Linked DNA regions of Solanum lycopersicum. The protein of the gene in region 2 interacts with the protein of the main gene of each other region in a pairwise test. Links are inferred from orthologs where the notes say so. Each region holds a gene or a part of one and is shown on either strand. Other genes may lie near its edges.

Evidence for each region.
Region 1: the proteins of protein LSD1 (region 2) and GSH-induced LITAF domain protein interact in binary tests that used the Arabidopsis thaliana proteins (3 or more experiments, as listed by UniProt). The link is inferred for Solanum lycopersicum from reciprocal best matches to the Arabidopsis thaliana genes LSD1 and GILP.

What each region holds. Positions count from the first base shown.
Region 1 is NC_090800.1:4,585,267-4,589,768, reverse strand, and holds the start of GSH-induced LITAF domain protein, read right to left. Parts: upstream 2,945-4,502; 5' UTR 2,733-2,944; coding exon 2,485-2,732; intron 1-2,484. UniProt on the Arabidopsis thaliana protein: Acts as a membrane anchor, bringing other regulators of programmed cell death (PCD) to the plasma membrane. Negatively regulates hypersensitive cell death.
Region 2 is NC_090801.1:55,751,846-55,754,933, forward strand, and holds the end of protein LSD1, read left to right. Parts: intron 1-362; coding exon 363-475; intron 476-1,793; coding exon 1,794-1,871; intron 1,872-1,964; coding exon 1,965-2,036; intron 2,037-2,142; coding exon 2,143-2,181; 3' UTR 2,182-2,524; downstream 2,525-3,088.

The DNA.
Region 1 (4,502 bases), on a different chromosome or scaffold from region 2:
AAAGCTGATGGAAGTTAAAACAGGCGAGTATACATAAACTCTAGATAGACCTCTACAGGAGAAGTCGGAAGCAAAGTTGTTTGTTGCAACAAAACATCGCTTATGCCACGAAGACAATTTTTTTATTAGTTACTGCAAAGAGAAGTTAAGAACATAAATATGGATCTAGAAGGCACATATTGCTAATGCTGAATTACAGGTTGCTTCAACATTCACAAAATAGAGAAGTTGGGAATTGCATATACAAGTTCAATTGCTGCTAGAGTGCCATAAAGTTTTTGCTGCCAGTGGTATGCAAGCCAACTCAGCTGAATCAACCATGAGCTGCAACATGATATTCAAACATATGCGCAGCACAGCATACACATTTTATATATAGATGTATGAATGTATGTATGTGGATCTCTAATCTATCTCTGCTCCTTGCACATTAAACTTGGTCAGTTACAAAGTCAACGAAAAAATTCATGCTAAGCATGTGTTACACTGTCATATGGATAGTCTACCTTTTGTAATTTGTAAGTTTGGTCTTCTACCTATTGGATGTGATGGACTTCAGCCATGAAATTTTCCTACATGGGCCTGTCACTATAATGTGAAACCACTGGGATTGGAAAATGGAAATCAGATTTCTTTTTACCCTAACAGGCACTTATGTACTCTTAGAATTGCTATTATGGTAGAGAAACTTTTTGAGAAAGGTAAGTCAACTCTAGTAGGCCATTAACAGAGGAGAACAGCAATGTCTCTGTCTAAGGCGTAATTTGTAAACGCAGTGAAAATCACACGTCTCGGTAAGTATTGCTATTGCGGCAGTCTGTTTCTTAAACATCCTTTTTTTTTCCTTTTCCTTTTCCTTTCAATAATGTGGTGTTCTGTTACCGCACCTGGACTATTTCACTGTGTACTTGCTACCTCCACCAACAAAGATACACGAGTTACTCTGCCCACCAAGGTCTTTAGCATCTTTAGGACCACAAGAAACCCTTTTTGGATATCCCCATTAGCCAATGAAAGAATCTAGAGAAGAATGTTCACGTTTTTCTTCGGAAGCTAAGAAGAAGGGGGTTGACTGCTTACTATTTGTTCTCGACTATGGAAGAATTTCAAAATCTCTTAATTATGTTTAACATCGAAGTTCTTGTTTAAGTAGCTGTCAAAAGAATCAGTGGTACAATTAACTCAGGAATAAACTAGACCATTAACAAAGTTCAGGAATGAATTCTCATGCTCATACTTCAGTATACTATTTACTTAGATATACACATCTCATATGAAAGGACATAATAAAGCCTTGTCACCAACAATATCTGCATAAACATGGTCTAACAGTAGTCACATGAAGTGCAAAAGTAATACTAATAAATATAAGTTACAAGAGATGAAGATAGACCCCTGACGTAATACTGAAGTCTCACACTTGTTACCTCTTATCAACGAAGGTGGGATAGGGACTGCGTTTGCTTAAGGATCCAGAAGGAAAGGAGAAAAAGCTGCACTGTTTAGTTACAAACTATAATCCAGATATCAGTTATAGAATGAAACGTGATTGTAAGTTTTCCATGGTTCCACCAAGATTTATCTACACAGAATGTTTTTGCATGCCCCATTAACCCAATATGTATAAAACTATTCCACCCTGCATTAGTTAAAGGTAGCAGGTGTGCAAAAGGGGTATTCTCCTCCAAACTTCTTCCATATCTTTCTTATCCAACTAAACTGCGATGCAGTTAGAGGACCAGAGAAACAGATACCTGTTTATCTATTTAACTTTTCCTTCTTTTTTTCTAGGTTTGGGAGATTTAACTTTTTGCTGACCCAAGTATACTAACTACTGATACAATACCTTAAAATACTAAAATACACATAAAGTAACAATGAAACCCTACAATCATCATCTATACCTAGCAATACTTTGATTTTGCTTCAATAACATGCCGAGCCAGTTCTATACTACCAATGGCAGAACAACAATATAGAGTAACAAAGAACCAAAGCTGCAAATTGCAATTATCCCAAAAAAAAAAAAAGGTTTAACCATTCGACTTTCATTTAGAATACTGATAAATTCGCTGATAAAGGTAAGGTGAATTAGCTTTCAGTGAGAATTCATCACCAAAAAATCATATCATGAATAGAACAACAAAGTTGCACACACATTGCAGACAAACAAAAGAAAACTTCCACTTTGTAATATAGATCAATCAAGGCAAAATTAATACATCAAACGAAACGTTACAAACACAAGTATACTAACTACTGATACAATATCTTAAAATACTAAAATACGCATAACGTAACAACGAAACCCTACAATCATCATCTAAAACTAGCAATACTTTGATTTCGCTTCAATAACATGCCGAATAAGTTCTAGACTACAGAACAACAACAACAATAAAGAGTAACAGGGAACCAAAGCTGCAAATTACAATTATCCTCCCAAAAAAGGGTTTAAAGAGGTTAAAAAGGGAGAAGAATTACTTGACTTGGGTGAGACCGGTGTTGCCACAGTGAAGGCAATTGAAAGGAGCAGGTGTATCTCTGTAAATAGTTTGTTGAATCGGAATTCCTTTAGGATCTCCATAAATGGCGTTTGGTGGAACCATACCTGCTTGATAAGGATTTTGACCTACATAGTATTGCTGCTGAAATTGCTGCGGCATCGGAGCCTGGTACGGCGCCGACGGGTTGTAAGGAATTCCGATCGCCGGCTCTTCGAACTTCGCCATCTCCGGTGATCAAATTGATGTTGATTATTACTATGTGATAAAAATAAATAAAATTCAGAATTATTTATTTTGCACACTACGCGTTTGTAGAATTGTTGTAGCGTTTATAGGGGGGCAAATTAATTAATTTGGTTTCTTAAAAAAAAAAATTGACTAATAAATCGCCGTGTATTTATCGTTTAACTTTGACGTTATCTATAACGAAGGAAACTAGGAATGGATCATTATTCGTTTATTATATTAAAAATAATTATTTAATATTATTTGTTTTATTTAATAAATTGAAGAGATAATTTTTTTTGTATTGGTAAAACCTTGCTATTAAATATCACGCTTTTTATTTATTTTTATTTGTCATATTATATTTTTCGAAAATTAATTTAATTAATTTTTAAAATTAAATTATATTAAATTAATTCGATACGTTAAATATTCAAAAAGTACTATAACTAGCAATTTTTGCAATATGATAAAAACACATCATAAAATGTTAATCAAAAAAACATTTTAGTTTGACTCTCGAAAAAAAATCAAGACAAATAAAATGGACGGAAATAATATTCAACATCTACTACAGTTTCCAAATTGTTAAATTCAATACATTCAAAGGGTGATTTGGTAATATTACTTTTATTATTTATTATTTTTTAAAAATTATGGAAAGTCAATACTGAAATGTTCCATTCTATTTTGATCGCTCCATTTAAATGGTCTCCTTGTGCATTTTGTAATTGCATGAATAATTAATTAATTAATTTGGTTTCTAGAAAAAAATTGATTTTGGAATTGATGTGTAATCAATGAATTAATTATTATTGAAAAGAAAAAAATAACAAAGGACTTTTCGTAACGAAATGAGCATTTAGAACAAATTAATCATTTTTATTGTACAGTAAAAACAATTTTTGAATAATAAAATTCTCTACTTGTATTCAAGCTAAAATACAGAAAAATCACAACACAGTGACTTTTATTTGAAAATTCCTATAGTTTGAACATATAGTTAAAAAAAAAAAACTAAAAAAATAATATGACTTTGACTCGTTTATAATTCAAATTCTAAAAAAATAATTCATGGTGTTTGAATTTTTATCAACTTATTTTTAGGTAAAAATATCAATCAAGAAATTACGTCCACAATTTCTTTTAGCAGGTAGCCAGCTACTATACATGAAATTACTCATTATTTTCAAAGGTGTCAACAATAAAGGCATAACACATAAAAATGATTTTTGATTTGATTTTAATGGATAATTATATCCTTCAATTCTGAGTGTGCATAAGTAGACACTTAAATTTATATAAAATTGAACAAGTAGATACATGTGTTCTACATGAAATAATGCATGTAGGACGCCACGTATGGCACAAAATTGTCATGTACAGTGCCATGTAGGACGAATCTGTCTATTTATTTAATTTTATACAAATTTAAATATCTACTTGTTCACATCAAAAGTTAATAAATCATAATTGTTATCTGACGCCAAATTGAGGATCATTTTTATGCATTGTGTTACCAATAAAATTGCACCTACAATATAAACTTAGTTTGCTTACTAGAACCTTTTTTCGTATTTTAACTAGAATTTCTTAAAATAGAAGAAAATATATGTTTTGACTTTCACCTACAATACCTAGTTTAAAATAAAAGAAAAAATATTTGAATTTCACCTACAACTAATAAAAAAATAAATTTAAAAATATATGATTTTGGTCGGTGAAAATAAGGATAATTTCTAGAAATTTCGCTAGTTCGGAAGCTAATTG
Region 2 (3,088 bases):
CCTTGGTCAGAAGCTACATTATTTGAAGTTGGATGGTGGTCCTGAAGGCAACAACATTTGTAGGTTGACCATTCCAAGAAGTAAGAAATGTAGTGTCACAATGCTGATTGGGCACTAATGTTATGTGCAAAATCAGGTGCCTTTTACTAGAGCTAAGCGGTAAAGACAGATGTTTAAGATGAGATAGTAACTCATTGAATTTTAAGGGGACTATACCTGAATCATTTGCATGTTCTATCTTTCACTAGAATTTAATAGGGTAAAGAGCTACATGAATTGTTTGTGTTTGAGGATTTGTACATTCGATAGAGCTTAGGTTTCTTGTTACCTGGATGACATATAATTGTGCTGTCGATCTTCAGGTCCAAACCAGTTTGCTCATGTCTACTGCGGGAACTGCCGTATGATGCTGATGTATCCATGTGGAGCTCCATCGGTTAAATGTGCAGTATGCCATTATATTACCAATGTTAATGTGAGTATGATGATTCATTTTTCTTTTTGATCTTTGGTAAAAATTTTAGCTGATGCTTGGTCCATATAGTTAAAGAAGTAAAATAACAAAGAGGAATGAATTTTAAGATTGTGCTTTTGGTAATGAGAATTCTATTTTGTGCGTAATATAATATTTACTTACTTTGTTAGGATCAGAGAATAGCCAACTACCATATTGTCTTAGTTTAATTACAATTTAAAGTGAGAATATATATCAACTTGACTGTAAATAAGTGATAAAATGAGTGTATGAAAGACTTGTCTTGCATGCATTGGTTGGTGTAAACACCAGTGCGGGTAAGTTTTTTTATTTTGTTGCTCAAGGGTGATGCAAATCAATCAAAATGACAATGTTGAGCCTTTTATGTAAATAGTAAGATTTATGATATTAGAATGATCGGAATTGAAGAAGATAAGAAGGGAATAATTAGCACAGTGAACATGTTGTTGTTGATGCTTCAAAATAGCCAATTCCCGAGTCATTGTTACTCATGGAGAATTGTTGGGTTTGTCTCTGTTTAAGCTGCTCTTCTCTGGTTCTTCCTTCTCCACTTAATAGTCTGAACCTATAGGAATCAGTAGATTATAGCGATTAGCCTTGCTTCATATCATGGATTGTAAAGCAAGTAAATTAAATTGAAAATCGTCAGCACATTTCGAGGACTTTCACATAAAGCAAAGTGTTAAGAGTGGTTTAATCCTTATGAAAGTTTAACGGAGAAGGCTTATGTTGGAAGGTAAGTTTATCTTGAGCTTTTGATATCAGCATCATCAGCCCACTTAAATACAAACTTATTTTGAACTTTTAGTTGCAAATTTTAGAAGTTATTGATATCACAGATTGTGGAAAAAGAAGGGGTAAGTGGGTGAGTGAGGAAGCAAAATAAGGTCTTTTGGTTACTAGTCCATTGCTTATGTTATTTGCGTATGTATCGGAATACAACAAGAATATGCTCAGTGTAATCCCATAAGTGGAATCTGGTTAGTGTATACACAGCCTTACCCTTACATTCCGAAGGTAGAGAAGTTGTTTTTGATAGACCTTGACTCAAGTAAAGCATATCGAAATCAGTAAGAAAAGGAAATGCAGTAGTGAAGAAGCCATGTAGAAAATAATGGAGAAAAGAAACAAATAATATGATAACTAAAAGAAGGAAACAACAGGTACTAGTAGAATTGAAGAATAAGATAGTAGGAGAGTAATAATAATAATATTGATAAGAGAGACTAGACAACATGCGTACATGAATATGATAAGGAATTTCAGTTTTCATGTGTTTATATGTATTTTTTTGCAGGCAGGAGATGGAAGAGCCCATGCACCTTTGAACCCTCCTAACGGCACTGCTACTACTGCTTCAGGATCCTCTTCAACTGTGAGTTCATAAGTCTGCCGCATGTTCTTTTCTTACTTACTAGGTTCTAAATTGACTAAATTGATTTCTGAAATATGTTCATATCTGCTTTAGGCCAAGGCTCGTTCACAAAATCAAACTGTTGTCGTCCAAAACCCAATGTCTGTCGATGAGAGTGGCAAGTTGGTAAGTTTGTTTCCAACATGATTAACCTCCTTTCATTTATATCTTTTGGCTTCTTCACTCTCAAGTTATCCACCTTATCATTAACGATACCATTTTACATTTCTAGGTGAGTAATGTAGTTGTTGGTGTAACAACAACATCATAGCTCGTCTGCTAAACTTGCTGTTCGTGGACAACAATTGAGAGTTTTGCTCGCAACAATTGGAAAGAGGAGAATAAAGACAGCCGCTGCATATAAATATGGTAGTGTTTAGTGTTAATACTACAACCATACCCCTGTTTTTCTTTTGTTAACATTTTGATATTATGATTGTGGGGTGATTGAAGCTACTACTACTAGTGTTGTGACTATTTGGAGTCTGTAATTGATAACTACGCGTTAGATTTGTGGCGTGCTATGCCCAAAGTCATAAGTGAAGAATGTTATTATGTACCTTATATGCCATATTATTGTATATGACTGTATACCGTGAACCTTACTGCCTAAACACCTTGCTTTTGAGAGGCGAATTCAGGATCTAGAGACTAGAGTTAGTGAGCTTTGAATGAGTGCGGTTTTTATTAGATGTATGCATCTTTTCCCTTGTGCATGTGTGTAATGGCACCTGCAGACTTGTCTGGAATTTGTCTCCAATTGTTATGAATATGATATGGTTTTCTTCAAGAGAAATCTCACTTCGTATAAAATCATAATTGTAAGAGGGCAAGAAATCTCATTTCCTTATTTGCCTCTGCCCCTCGAAAGTAGTCTCTGGTTAAAATACGAGAACGAAAAGGAGGGGGCGGGGGTAGTAGTAATTTTTCTTTTTTTAAATTCCTTCTTCCTCCTCCCTATATGTCTTCCTTTTATTCCCAACTACTTTGCCCTTTGGTATCTTCTTTAAGTTGAAAACTTGTTTATACAACTCAATATATATATATATAATAGCATGATTTTGTTCAACAACAAAAGTAATATGGTACAACACTTCTCACAAGGTCCAAGAGTAACTTTATTTTGAAAAAAAATTTACTTTCATAATCACCTTACAAGTATATTCGGTGGGTGAGTC